Linked DNA regions of Callithrix jacchus. The protein of the gene in region 1 binds, or shares a complex with, the protein of each later gene. Links are inferred from orthologs where the notes say so. Each region holds a gene or a part of one and is shown in the gene's direction. Other genes may lie near its edges. The genes, in order: CACNA2D1, CACNA1C and CACNA1E.

Region 1 (3,646 bases):
TTGTTGGTAATGAAAGAAAGAAGTTGTAAAATAGTAAAACATCTGATGAAAATATGGATTTAGGGGACACTCAAATTTTTATTAAAGGAATTAAGATTTTTTCATTCTCTATAGCACTTACTGGTAATGTTTAAATTTTTTGCTAAGTGAACACTATGAAGTTACCATTCAGTTTCTCATATGAAAACAGTGTTATGCTGATGTAAACTTCAGCCCCTTTAGAGTCTGAAGTTTTTCTTCATGTTTGTTATTGCATTTTACATTTTAGTACTGGTCCCATTAAAACATACAGTTAAGGATTTTAGCATGTTATGACCTTTTTAACCTTTCTTTCTTCTATACATCAGTTGAAATTCTTTTCATTTTTTAAATATTTTTTAAATGCTATATTAATTTCTTTTAGGTGTATTGATCTGTAAGAGGTTACAATTTAATTGTCCTTAATATCCAAGTTGGATGTCTACATTCATCAAACTCATGACATAATGGCAACCTTCTACCTCTTTACTATTAATACAAGGACTGGCATAGTGTAGAGGCATCATGTTGCTAAAATGGATCTAATTCTTTCTTTTCATTGATTCTACCTTCCAAACCTCCCCTATCCCCCACCTATGTACCCTACAACCTATGAAAATAAGACATGTAAGTGGTTAATTGTGGCACTGTGGAAAGTCTGCAAAGTCACATTTCTCAATGTTTAGTTCTGGTCAGTCAGGTAATTAAACCACCTGTTATGTCAGGGATCCATGATCTCCCTTGTCCCTTTCTCCCTTCCGGTTTTTTTTTTTTTCGTATTATCATAGTACTGTATTGTTCAACCCTATTCCATGTAGATTAATCTACAACATTAATTTTATATTGAGGTTTATTTATATTTAGTGATTATATCATTAAAGTAGCAAAGACGATTTTAAAATTTTAGATTTTGAAAAGATTTAGAAAATTCTGATGTGATTTTATATACTAACTTTGGTAGGCTTTAAAATTTCATCATAACCCTGAAATACTTGCCTTTATATCGCCTCCCCCGCATTTTTACAACTAAATTCAGTTCTAGATATTTGGCTCAGTGGTCCATTACTATAAAACTCAAATATGCTGTATCTCTGTACATCATATGAATATTTTGTTCTATGAATGTCACATTACATCTTTACAAATATATTCTATATTACAAAGTAAATAGTTAACAAATTCAAACCCATGGTATAAACTGCATTGTTCCTTTGTTGGGGATGGGGGGAACCCAAAAAAACAAATGGTTTTAAAATCTAAAATAAGGAGAAGTAATGAATTTAAAAACCTATGCACTGAAGCACTGACCTTCTGCCTCTTAGAGTGGATACTTCTGGTTGATAAGATTGCCTGTTAGGCCTCTTCACACATTGTCTCTCACTGGGTCCTGAACAAGATCTGAACACTTCTGACTTAATTACTTCTTTTACACATTAAAGAAAGGTTACAATGTGTTATATAATTTAAAAAGTACTTAAAACACTCCTAAACTTTCTATGAACAAATTCTCAATCTCTCATTTTTTTCCCAAAAGGATAAAGGGAAACAGTATTTATGCGTATGTGTACATGCAAAAACACTTCGTTTCCTAGATTTTTATTATTTTATTTATTTGAAAAATTCAGGTCTATTCTACAGCAGTTTCTCTTGAGTTTGACCTTTCCACGACTCCTTGAGGCAGGTATGTAAATGCTCACACCTTGTCATAATAAAATTTTCTTTTTGGATGTGCTTGAGTTCAACAAATTCAGAGAATATATGTGTCAGAAAGAGAAAACAGATCACCAGTCTCATAATTTTAGAGCTAGAAACTTTTTGTCCAGCCTTTTCTAATGTTTTAGAAATCACATAGGTCACATTGGCCTTGAACTCATAGCTATCATGTATTTGAATTAATTTATTCTATTGATATTTATCAGGCCTCTACTAGGGACTGCCATGATCGTACACAGCAATAAACAAGCCGCTAGTCGAGGCATCCTGGTCTTATACATTTATTTTGCTCTGTAAGACATGAAGACTCCGGGTGACCGACTACAGTGGCCCTTCCTAATGATGTTCTTTGTTTTTACCCCTGACAAGTTGAGATGGAGGATGATGACTTTACGACCTCCCTGTCAAAGCAGAGCTGCATTACTGAACAAACCCAGTATTTCTTCGATAACGACAGTAAATCATTCAGTAGTGTATTAGACTGTGGAAACTGTTCCAGGTAACTTATTTATTTATTTCTAGAGTAGTCTGATTTCATTAAGAAATTGTATCATTACAGAAAATACTGAAAATTATGTTGAAGTCAGAGTTATGAGTAATTGTTTTAAGTTGATGTCAGAGATCTTCTCTTTAGGCTTTTAAAAATTATAGTTTTCTAAAATTCTAACTTTGATAAATTAGTTGTTATTTCTTCAATAATAATAATTAAATGATCAAGATAATTACTTTCCCTTTAGGCAGAACACAGATAAATTTCATTATATTAGAAATTTTTTAAATGGGTACTTTTAGAAAAAAATGTGAACATACAAATTTGCAAAATTAAATATATTGCTAATTCTAAATAATTCTAAGGCAAATATGATTACTTTTGCAATATTGTAACTAAACAGATTTACAAAAAAGTCTTGTTTTGTTTTCACTTCTAATCTTCTCTGACTTGAAGAACTGAATGTTAGCCTAATTTGAATTTGAAGGAACTGGGAATATATAGTTTTCTTAGATCATTGTTAATGTTAGTATCCATAAAACATCTTTTAAAATGTTGGGAAGAGATGGAGAATTTAATTTCATTGTAATGAGGATAGAGGAGAAAGGCAAAATGAAGATTTTGAGGGGAAAGTCATAAGTAATGCCACCGGATCCCTGGGAACAGAGCAGCAAGTCACAGCTTGCAAAGCATAGAATTGAGACGCTTTGTCTGTAGAGGTGGAGGGAAGGTTATTCTAGAAGAAATTTTACCACAGAGGAAGAAATACGAGGAGGTGAGGTAATCTGAGATTATGGAAGTGCCAGAATAGTTGAACAAAAAACCTTTTTTTTTCTTCAAGAGGGGCTAAACAATCATGAATTTTTAGTAGATGTGGTCAGTATGTTTTATGACTTTCTTTAGAAACTCTCTGTGTCCAAGGAGGAGGTAGAGTATATGAAGAGAAAAAGAAAGGGGAGGATGAACTCACAAAAAAAGTAGACTATCTTGTTTAAAGATGAGCATATCAGGCTATAGACTTCAGGAAATGGAACTGTGGCATGTTTATTGGATACATCAGAGTTTCCCAGAAATTGGTCTTTTATTAATGGACATCCAGCAAGAGCAATGTGTGCTTAAAGAACTAAGTTAAATTGTAAAGTAAAGGTCAATATAACCAAGACATTAAATTGAATCATACTTTCCTTTTAATTTGCTTTATGAAAATCAAAGCTTAACAGGGCAAAAACATAAAATCCCACTTCTTTAATCATAAAGAAAGTACTTTAGTGATATATTTACATTTTGTTACTAAAGTAGAATCAGCTTAAGGTGCGGACAAAACGGGATGGAATTCAAAACCCTTGATTCTGTTCTGGTCTGTGTTGTCCAGTGCAGTAGTTACCACACACAAGTGGCTATTGAAATTTCAACTCAAGTTAAATT
Region 2 (3,646 bases), on another chromosome or scaffold:
GAGGCTGTGTCCGCTGCCTCTGAAGATGACATCTTCAGGGTGGGTGGCACCATGGCGCACTCTCGACCTCTATAAAGTTCAGTTTGGAGCAAGAGGGTGGGCAGGGTTTTGCGGAGAACGTCCAGGGGAAAGAGCCGCACCAGAGGACAGGGCCACTTCCAGGCTCTTCCTGATCAGCTGTGTCCTCACCCCTTTGCCTTTTCCAAGCCTGACTCCGTCCCAAGGCAGGGCTCCCTGGAAACGGCATTTCACAGTGTCTCCCCAAGGGAAATGTTTCCTAGGAGAAGAGAAACTTCTATATCAGAAGTTATAAAGTGGTCACCCTGGGCATATCTAATCTGCAGGCTTGTTTGGTTTGCTACTATTTGAAAATCTGGCACATTCAGGTCAAAATCAAGACTCCTGGCATTCCTTGGAAAAGTCAGGAGACCTGCAATTTTGAGCTTGCATTCCGGCAGGGCAGCAGAGGGCTGGAGCCTAGTGGCAGCTGCCCCTTGAGATGGAGCATAGCATGTGTTCTGCAGATCTCCAAGCCCCTCCAGTCCTCCCCCTTCCCTCTCCCTTCCTGGAGACTGAAGCTGCCCAGCAGTTGCAATAGTGAAAATTAAACACAGCTGTACCGGAATAAGGGGCATTTATACCTCACATGTGTTACCTGCCTCACCCCGCTGGTATTTGGTTAAAACTCCTCCTATAGCAAGGGAGAAGTTGCCAGTCATAATCGTGCAGGGCCCTGTTCACACCTGCTCCCAGCCCAGGGCCCAGTTCCCAGGCTGTGGAACACACAGGAGGCAAGCCGAGCCCATCCTGCCCCTGCTCCTTCTCTTCCTTATCCTTATCCTCATCACCTGAGACATTCGTCACTAAGTAGCCTCAGGGACATGGCATGATTGTGACTCCACCTGACATGATCCCAGAAATCAAAGGCTCAGTCACCAAGGCCCAGGGATGTTCTGGTGTCAAAGTTTGCAACCTTGCAAATAGCTCCTTGCCCACTTCCCCAGGACAAGGAGAAGATACTCAGGGAAAACACTGGCTCTTGGCTTGAACTATCTGTGAATCCCTGAGGGGAAAAAGAGCATCATGCAGGAAATTCCTCATTTTCAAAACCGTTTGGCCGACACAGCTTTTAGCTCCGTGAGCACATCAGATTTATTGATTTTTAATCTGGTTAGAATCTTCTGGTCGTTTTCCCAGCCCCCACCCTCACGGTGTGCTGGCTGCTCTCAGGGACCGCTGTCCTAGATGTGCCCTGGAAACTCGCTCCCAGCCTTCAGGGACTTCACTGGAAACCTCCAGGGCAGCTTATACCAGCGGGAGCCTCTTGCACAGTCCCATCCCTACCAGTGTGTGGGTTCTCCCAGCTACCGCAGAGGGGAGCCCGGAGCCTTGAGACTGTGGGTCCCTCCCACTCTGGAGCAGCCAGGTATGAAGAAGGACCTCAGGTGCTCCTGGCTCCCAGCAGGGCTGTGCCTCCCCAAAGGAAGGCAGCCCGCCTTCCCGGGCCCTGCATTCCACTGGCCAGACTGTGGAAGCTGCTCTCTGGGAGGGGTGGACACTGAGGGGCTTCTCCTCCACCCACCTGTCCTTCTTGCCTACAGAGGGCCGGTGGCCTCTTCGGCAACCACGTCAGCTACTACCAAAGTGACGGCCGGAGCGCCTTCCCCCAGACCTTCACCACTCAGCGCCCGCTGCACATCAACAAGGCAGGCAGCAGCCAGGGTGACACAGAGTCGCCTTCCCACGAGAAGCTGGTGGATTCCACCTTCACTCCCAGCAGCTACTCGTCCACCGGCTCCAATGCCAACATCAACAATGCCAACAACACCGCCCTGGGCCGCCTCCCCCGCCCCACTGGCCACCCCAGCACGGTCAGCACTGTGGAGGGCCATGGGCCCCCCTTGTCCCCTGCCATCCGGGTGCAGGAGGTGGCCTGGAAGCTCAGCTCCCAGAGGTAAGCGGGAGGCTGGCCACCCTGCTGTATTTTCTCCTTGTCCTCTGATCCCCTGTGCTCTAGGATGCACTGCTCTGACATGCTGGGATGGTGGGACTTCCCTCCCACCCTGGGCCCCTGCAGAGCTCCTCCCTGTCAGCATCAGCAGCTCCAGCGTTCCCTGGTGGGGCTGAGAGAGGTGCCTAGTCCCGCTTAACTGTGCTGCTTTTCCAGAGTAGGACAGTGGCTCCCAGCCGGCGGCACAGCGCCCCAGCATGTCAGCCTCCTGACATGCCTGCCCTCCAGCTCAGAAAATAGTAAGAGAAGTGGAAGCTTCTCACCAAACCCCTGGAAAAGTGTCCATCCAAGAAGCAGGTACCTGCCGTGGGCCTGCCCATCCCCCCAGAGGGCCCATTTTCAAGTGGCTGCATGCAAGCCCCTAGGGCCAGGCATTTAATTGTGTCAGATGACAGGCAAGTTAGAAAGACCATCCCCCTGTCTGCTTTCCTTTCTGCAAGGTGGCTGGTTTAGCCACCCAGAGGCAGCACTGGGGCATCCCTCAGCTCACGAGGCCTGCACTGCTGCCTTCTGTGCTCAGGGCAGCTTGCTCAGCCCTGGATTTGATGTGCTGGCCTCAAGGGCTGGCTTTACATAGGAGAGGATCTAATCTAGGCATCTAGTCTTGGGGGCCTGCATTTGTTGTGGGGGCCTCACCCTTCTCTGCAACCTCACTCCCCTTCCCCCCACAGCCTTTGAGGACTCAGGTACTGGATCCCCACACCCCTTCTCCCCTGCTGGCCTCACCAAAGCCTCTGCTGAAGGAGGGCTCCATGTCCATCTTCAGCATCTCAGGGTGAATTCAATCCCTACCCTCTAAGGGCATTTTCCTGTGAGGCTTTGTTCTCTGTGACAAAAGGGGGAAGAGATGTTTAGAGGAGCTGGGGAGGAGACCCTGGGGAATTTCCTTGTCCCCACAGATACATCTCTCCATGAAGCAAAACACGCAAAGCACCCAGCACACAGTCAGTGCTCATGAAATGTTGGTTCCCTCTGCCCACTGCAGACAGTACAAACAACAGGGCACCAAGCTTCAGCTTGGTGAAGAAGAGGAGCATAACCCACATCCCAGCTCCCTTGTCCTCTCTGTCACAGCTCAAAGCTAAGGGCAGCTCAGGCCCTGGCGTTGCCTGTGCTAAGAATGGGCCAGCACGTCCTGTGCCCGGTGGCTCCCAGAAGTGCTGTTTCCTGCCTGCTCCGCTCTGCACCTCCAACTCCTCCCCCCACACCCTCGCCAAAGCTCGCTCCACTTCCCTCCCCTCCCAATCCTCCTGGAGCTCCCACCTGTAACCTTTCTTTCCCACTGCAGTGGGAGTGGCAATCTGCAGGCCTCCTTAAGAGAGAGAACTGCTCCTACCCTGCCAGTGATGCTCAGAGCCAGGGCACTGATCTAGCCCTCAGCTCTGAGAGGATGGACCAGGATCTTTCCCTGATGCTCTCGGGGATCCGAGGATAAAGTGGGCCCAGCATGCAAGGTCTACAGAAAGCAAGACAGAGGGAGGCACTGAGCTGAGCTAGACAGGAAAAGGAAGAGGCCTTGGTCCAGAGCTAAAGAAGGCATGGCCTGTGAGCATAAGACCCTGTCCCAGGAGGGAAAGGCACGTCCTAGTGTGTGAGGATCTGGAGCTCAGGAGGGATTCTGGCTCAGGAGGGACT
Region 3 (4,133 bases), on another chromosome or scaffold:
TGTAGATCTTCATTTCCTATTTTTGCCTGGTTCTCTGTAGAACCTGCTTCCACGAGCATAGGCTGAGTGACAACAATGGAGTCCAAGAGATGCAGTTGAAAGACCAAAGTGACAAGGCTTTAAAATAAAGTTTTATCAGGACAGTCATGCCCACTCATTACGTATTCTCTGGCTGCTTTCATGGTACCACAGCAGAGTTTGAGTAGTTGCAACAGAGACTGTATGGCATGCAAAGCTCAAAATATTTATGTTCTGGCCCTCTGCAACAGAGACTATGTGGCATGCAAAGCCTGAAATATTTATTTTCTGGCCCTTTGGAGAGTTTGCCAATCCTTGCTCTAGAGAGTTTTGTACTGGCATTTACATGCTAGTCTTAAGTAACTTATATCACTTCCACTCACAACTCACTGGCCAGAATGGTCACATGGCCCCACTTAACCATAGAGGGCCAGGAAATACATCCTACCATGTGCCCAAGAGGGGGATAATCAGAATATTTGACAAACAGCACTAATGGCCACCATAAGCACCTACTATGAGTTGAAATCAGTACCAGGTGCTAGGAATAGAAAGATGAACAAGACAAAATCTTTGATCTCAAGGAATTTAAGGAATGCCAGAATTTGGGGATTGGAGGGGGAAGGCTAAGTATAGATTCAAGTGTCCTTTCCTAGAAGATATAGACTGGCTTGTCTGAATTGCTTGAGATCTCAGCTTGGTGCTAGCCAGAACTGGGGACTGACCGGCTTGGCAAACAGTGGGGGCGACAGATCCTCCTGATGAACGTTTATATCAATAATAGAAGGCTTGTTTAACAGAAATTCTTAAAGGAAAGAGAAGATGATTTTATGTTTTGATATTCATAACACTGATTCTGTTAAAGCCAGAGCTCCACAGTGCATATTATTGCTGTTGTAATGTTGGCAAAGATGTGCTTCAAATTGGCAAAGTGTCTGAGAAGAGGAAATCATGTAAGGAGAGAGAGTGGGGTGGGTCAGGAAATGGAGGTGGGAGCCAGCTACTGGTGGCCTGGTGAGAGGTGGGAGGGCGGCCCTGTAGCCTTTGTCACAGAGAGACATGAGGGAGAGGAGGCTGCAGCCAGCAGAGCCTGAGAATTCTTGGAGTTGCTGGAGATGCTAAGGCCTGGAGAGGGAGTGGGAGCAGCACGGAAGGGGTGTGTGCGTGCATGTGGTGAGGGAGAGACATTTAAACATCGTAGGAATGAAGGATAAATTTAAAATCCCTCAAGGGGAGTTGAGACAGAATGACAACGTGAAGAACATGAATCACTCTTTCTAGGGACCCACCCTGCTGTTGGCATGATTTGGGATACATTTTCTCCTCCGTACCAAGCTCATTCTGGACCCTTTGTCTTCCTTCTTCCTGCTCCCTTGACCTGGCCTCGGTGGCCATGTACCTAGTGCTGGCTACCATGTCCTGGGAGCTTCAAGATCAAAAACATTGAGGCTGTAGGGTGTGGTGCCGGTAGGGTGAGGAAGACCAGTACAGACGTTAGAGATGGAGAAGGAGACAAAGAGAAGGTATCTTAGGGCTCTAGGGACACCCAGGGCTACTGAATGCTCCCATCAGGCTTTATCAGGTATGTGCTAAGATCATCCTCTCATCCAGCCTTTTTGTTTCTATTTGCTGTCTTAGCATAATGAGGAGGGGGGTGGGGGCTGGGAGAGGCATTTATGGATTCTGCTCCATGTGCTAGAGACATATGATTAATGTAGTGGAGAAAACCGTAAGCTAGGACTTGAAATCTGACTTCTCTCCCAGCTCTGCTTTTTATTGGCAGTGTGATCCTGGGCGGGGCTCTCTACCTTTCTGGATCTCAGCATCCATAAAATGATACGGTTAGAGCATTAAGATTTCTAACCATTGAAATAGTCTTTGTATTTGTGATTTGCAATTTGACTTGCAGTCCAGCCCAGGGAAGGGGTGGTGCCTGGAGGGTAGCGTCCGGGAGGATGCCACCCTGGGGGCCCTGCACAGCTCCCAACATGTAGTAGGGGCTCAACCATCCCACACTAGTTGAATGATCTGGAGGCCCGGGCTCCTCTGAGCACATAGAGCATGGCCTACTTCTTAGATGCCACTTTGTGGTCACTAAGACATGTGGTTGGGAGGAATTCCGGTTTGCGGCTCCTGGCTAGGAGGGAGACAATAAGCAGGTATCTTGAAAAGGTGGTAAGTTCAGGCTGTCTCAAGTCAGAAGGGCTGGTTCCCTGCCCCCGTCCCTGGACTCCATCCTTAGACTTACTATGGGGACTAGCGGTGTGTGGGTAACTTTTAAGTTTCTCATTAGGTTAAACCTTTGCTAATTGGAGCATGTCAAGGTCTGGTATGAGCCACCCACCTGGAATGCTGTGTTCACTTGGGCACGTCCATAAGGCGTGAAACAGGGAAACACCTCATTGGCTTTGGATTCAGCCTTTAGGGGTGTAGTAGTGGAGGAGCAGTGCACAAAGGAGGAGAGAGGAGTGACCAGCAGGGCAGGAGGAATCCTTGGTTTCCCTAAATCCTCCCTCACACACATGCTCTTCCTTTTTGCCCATACTCCTTTCCTGTTCCTCACCTGGCAAGCTCTGTTTAACCCAGCTCTAGGTCCTTTCCTTCACAAAGCCCTCCTGACCACCCCCAGCTGGGCTAGGTATCCCTCTTTTTTTTCTTTTTTGAGATCGAGTCTCATTCTGTCACCCAGGCTGGAGTGCAATGGTGTGATCTTGGCTCATTTCAACCTCTGTCCCCTGGGTTCAGGTGATTCTCCTGCCTTGCCTCCCGAGAGGCACACACCACCACACCTGGCTATTTTTTGTATTTTTTGTATTTCACCATATTGGCCAGGCTGGACTCGAACTCTTGACCTCAAGTGATCCACTTGCCTTGGCCTCCCAAAATGCTGGGATTACAGGCGTGAGCCACCGCGCCCAACCAGGTGCCCCTCACATGTGCTCCTCTAGCAATCAGGCCTGTGCCAATTACAGCACATCCTGTCATGGTCATAATCAGTGTTCTTCCTGTCTCTCCCATGAGGATGCTGTGGACTAAGTCCAGCTCCTGTTGTTGTGCCCACTGCATGGCACAGTGCCCAGCACATGGTAAGCCCTCAGTAAACACCGGTTCAATGTGTATGTCTTTCAGAGGCCAATGTGGCTGTATCCTCCTTGGCATGGAAAAGGAGAATGATGCCAAGGGGAGCAACAGGAGCACCTGAGTCACACGTGGCCCCCAGGTCCTGAGGCAGATACATGCATTAAAAAAGGAGGAAGGAGGCCGGGCACGGTGGCTCAAGCCTGTAATCCCAGCACTTTGGGAGGCTGAGGCGGGTGGATCACGAGGTCAAGAGATCGAGACCATCGTGGTCAACATGGTGAAACCCCGTCTCTACTAAAGATACAAAAATTAGCTGGGCATGGTGGCACGTGCCTGTAGTCCCAGCTACTCAGGAGGCTGAGGCGGGAGAATTGCTTGAACCCAGGAGGCGGAGGTTGCGGTGAGCCAAGATCGCGCCATTGCACTCCAGCCTGGGTAACAAGAGCAAAACTCCATCTCAAAAAACAAAAGGAGGAAGGAACCTGCAGACAGGACTCAGTTCTCAAGAAGAGCTCTCCGTAGGCTGGGCTCAGAGGCAATGCTTGTAATCCCAGTACTTTGGGTGGCTGAGTCAGGAGGATTGCTTGAGTCCAGGAGTTTGAGACCAGTCTAGGCAACATGGGGAGATGCCATCTCTACAAAAAATAAAAAAAAATATTGCTGGCTGTGGTGGCACGTGCCTGTGGTCCCAGCTACTTGGGAGGCTGAGAGAGGAGGATTGTCTGACCCTGGGAGGTTGATGCTGCAGTGAGCTATGATTGCGCCATTGAACTCCAGTCTGGGTGACAGATCGTACCTCAAAACGAATAAATAAAAAAACGCCCACCTTGAGGCTTGGTCCCCTGGGAGCACGTGCTTGGGAGGCAGGGCAGCAGGTGGTGGGTGGGAATTCCCTCAAAGGAGTTGGGCCCTGGGGAAAGGGTTAGAGGGATTCTTCCACCAAAAATGGGAGTGAACAGCCACCTAGCTATCTGAGGTGGGGCTGATATGCGCAGCCCTCAGGGTTCCCGTCTTTACTGTGGCCCCTGAAACCT

The links.
Region 2: the proteins of CACNA2D1 (region 1) and CACNA1C are in contact, whole or in part, in a cryo-EM structure (PDB 8WEA), measured with the Homo sapiens proteins. The link is inferred for Callithrix jacchus from reciprocal best matches to the Homo sapiens genes CACNA2D1 and CACNA1C. Residues at the interface, in NP_001353796.1 of Homo sapiens: Thr170, Asp171, Tyr173, Ile233, Leu235, Gly262, Ser263, Ser265, Lys270, Thr274, Ala327, Lys328, Gly329, Ile330, Glu366, Gln391, His392, Tyr394, Ile416, Gly417; in NP_955630.3 of Homo sapiens: Phe147, Pro148, Glu149, Asp150, Asp151, Ser152, Asn153, Ala154, Asn678, Lys1090, Gly1091, Asn1092, Tyr1093, Ile1094, Tyr1096, Gly1099, Val1101, Pro1104, Ile1106, Arg1109, Tyr1156.
Region 3: the proteins of CACNA2D1 (region 1) and CACNA1E are in contact, whole or in part, in a cryo-EM structure (PDB 8EPM), measured with the Homo sapiens proteins. The link is inferred for Callithrix jacchus from reciprocal best matches to the Homo sapiens genes CACNA2D1 and CACNA1E. Residues at the interface, in NP_001353796.1 of Homo sapiens: Thr170, Asp171, Tyr173, Ile233, Leu235, Ser261, Gly262, Ser263, Ser265, Gly266, Leu267, Lys270, Ala327, Lys328, Gly329, Ile330, Thr331, Glu366, Gln391, Asn393, Tyr394, Ile416, Gly417; in NP_001192222.1 of Homo sapiens: Gln110, Leu112, Pro113, Glu114, Asp115, Asp116, Lys117, Pro119, Arg122, Asn630, Phe631, Asn632, Asp633, Gly634, Ile1330, Gly1331, Asn1332, Val1334, His1336, Met1341, Val1343, Arg1346, Arg1393, Ser1394.

The regions. Positions count from the first base shown.
Region 1 is NC_133512.1:67,910,609-67,914,254, forward strand, and holds part of CACNA2D1 (voltage-dependent calcium channel subunit alpha-2/delta-1), read left to right. Parts: intron 1-1,643; coding exon 1,644-1,699; intron 1,700-2,100; coding exon 2,101-2,230; intron 2,231-3,646. UniProt on the Homo sapiens protein: The alpha-2/delta subunit of voltage-dependent calcium channels regulates calcium current density and activation/inactivation kinetics of the calcium channel. Plays an important role in excitation-contraction coupling.
Region 2 is NC_133510.1:15,911,448-15,915,093, forward strand, and holds part of CACNA1C (voltage-dependent L-type calcium channel subunit alpha-1C), read left to right. Parts: coding exon 1-39; intron 40-1,601; coding exon 1,602-1,954; intron 1,955-3,646. UniProt on the Homo sapiens protein: Pore-forming, alpha-1C subunit of the voltage-gated calcium channel that gives rise to L-type calcium currents. Mediates influx of calcium ions into the cytoplasm, and thereby triggers calcium release from the sarcoplasm.
Region 3 is NC_133519.1:39,669,138-39,673,270, forward strand, and holds the start of CACNA1E (voltage-dependent R-type calcium channel subunit alpha-1E), read left to right. Parts: upstream 1-1,326; 5' UTR 1,327-1,518; coding exon 1,519-1,600; intron 1,601-4,133. UniProt on the Homo sapiens protein: Voltage-sensitive calcium channels (VSCC) mediate the entry of calcium ions into excitable cells.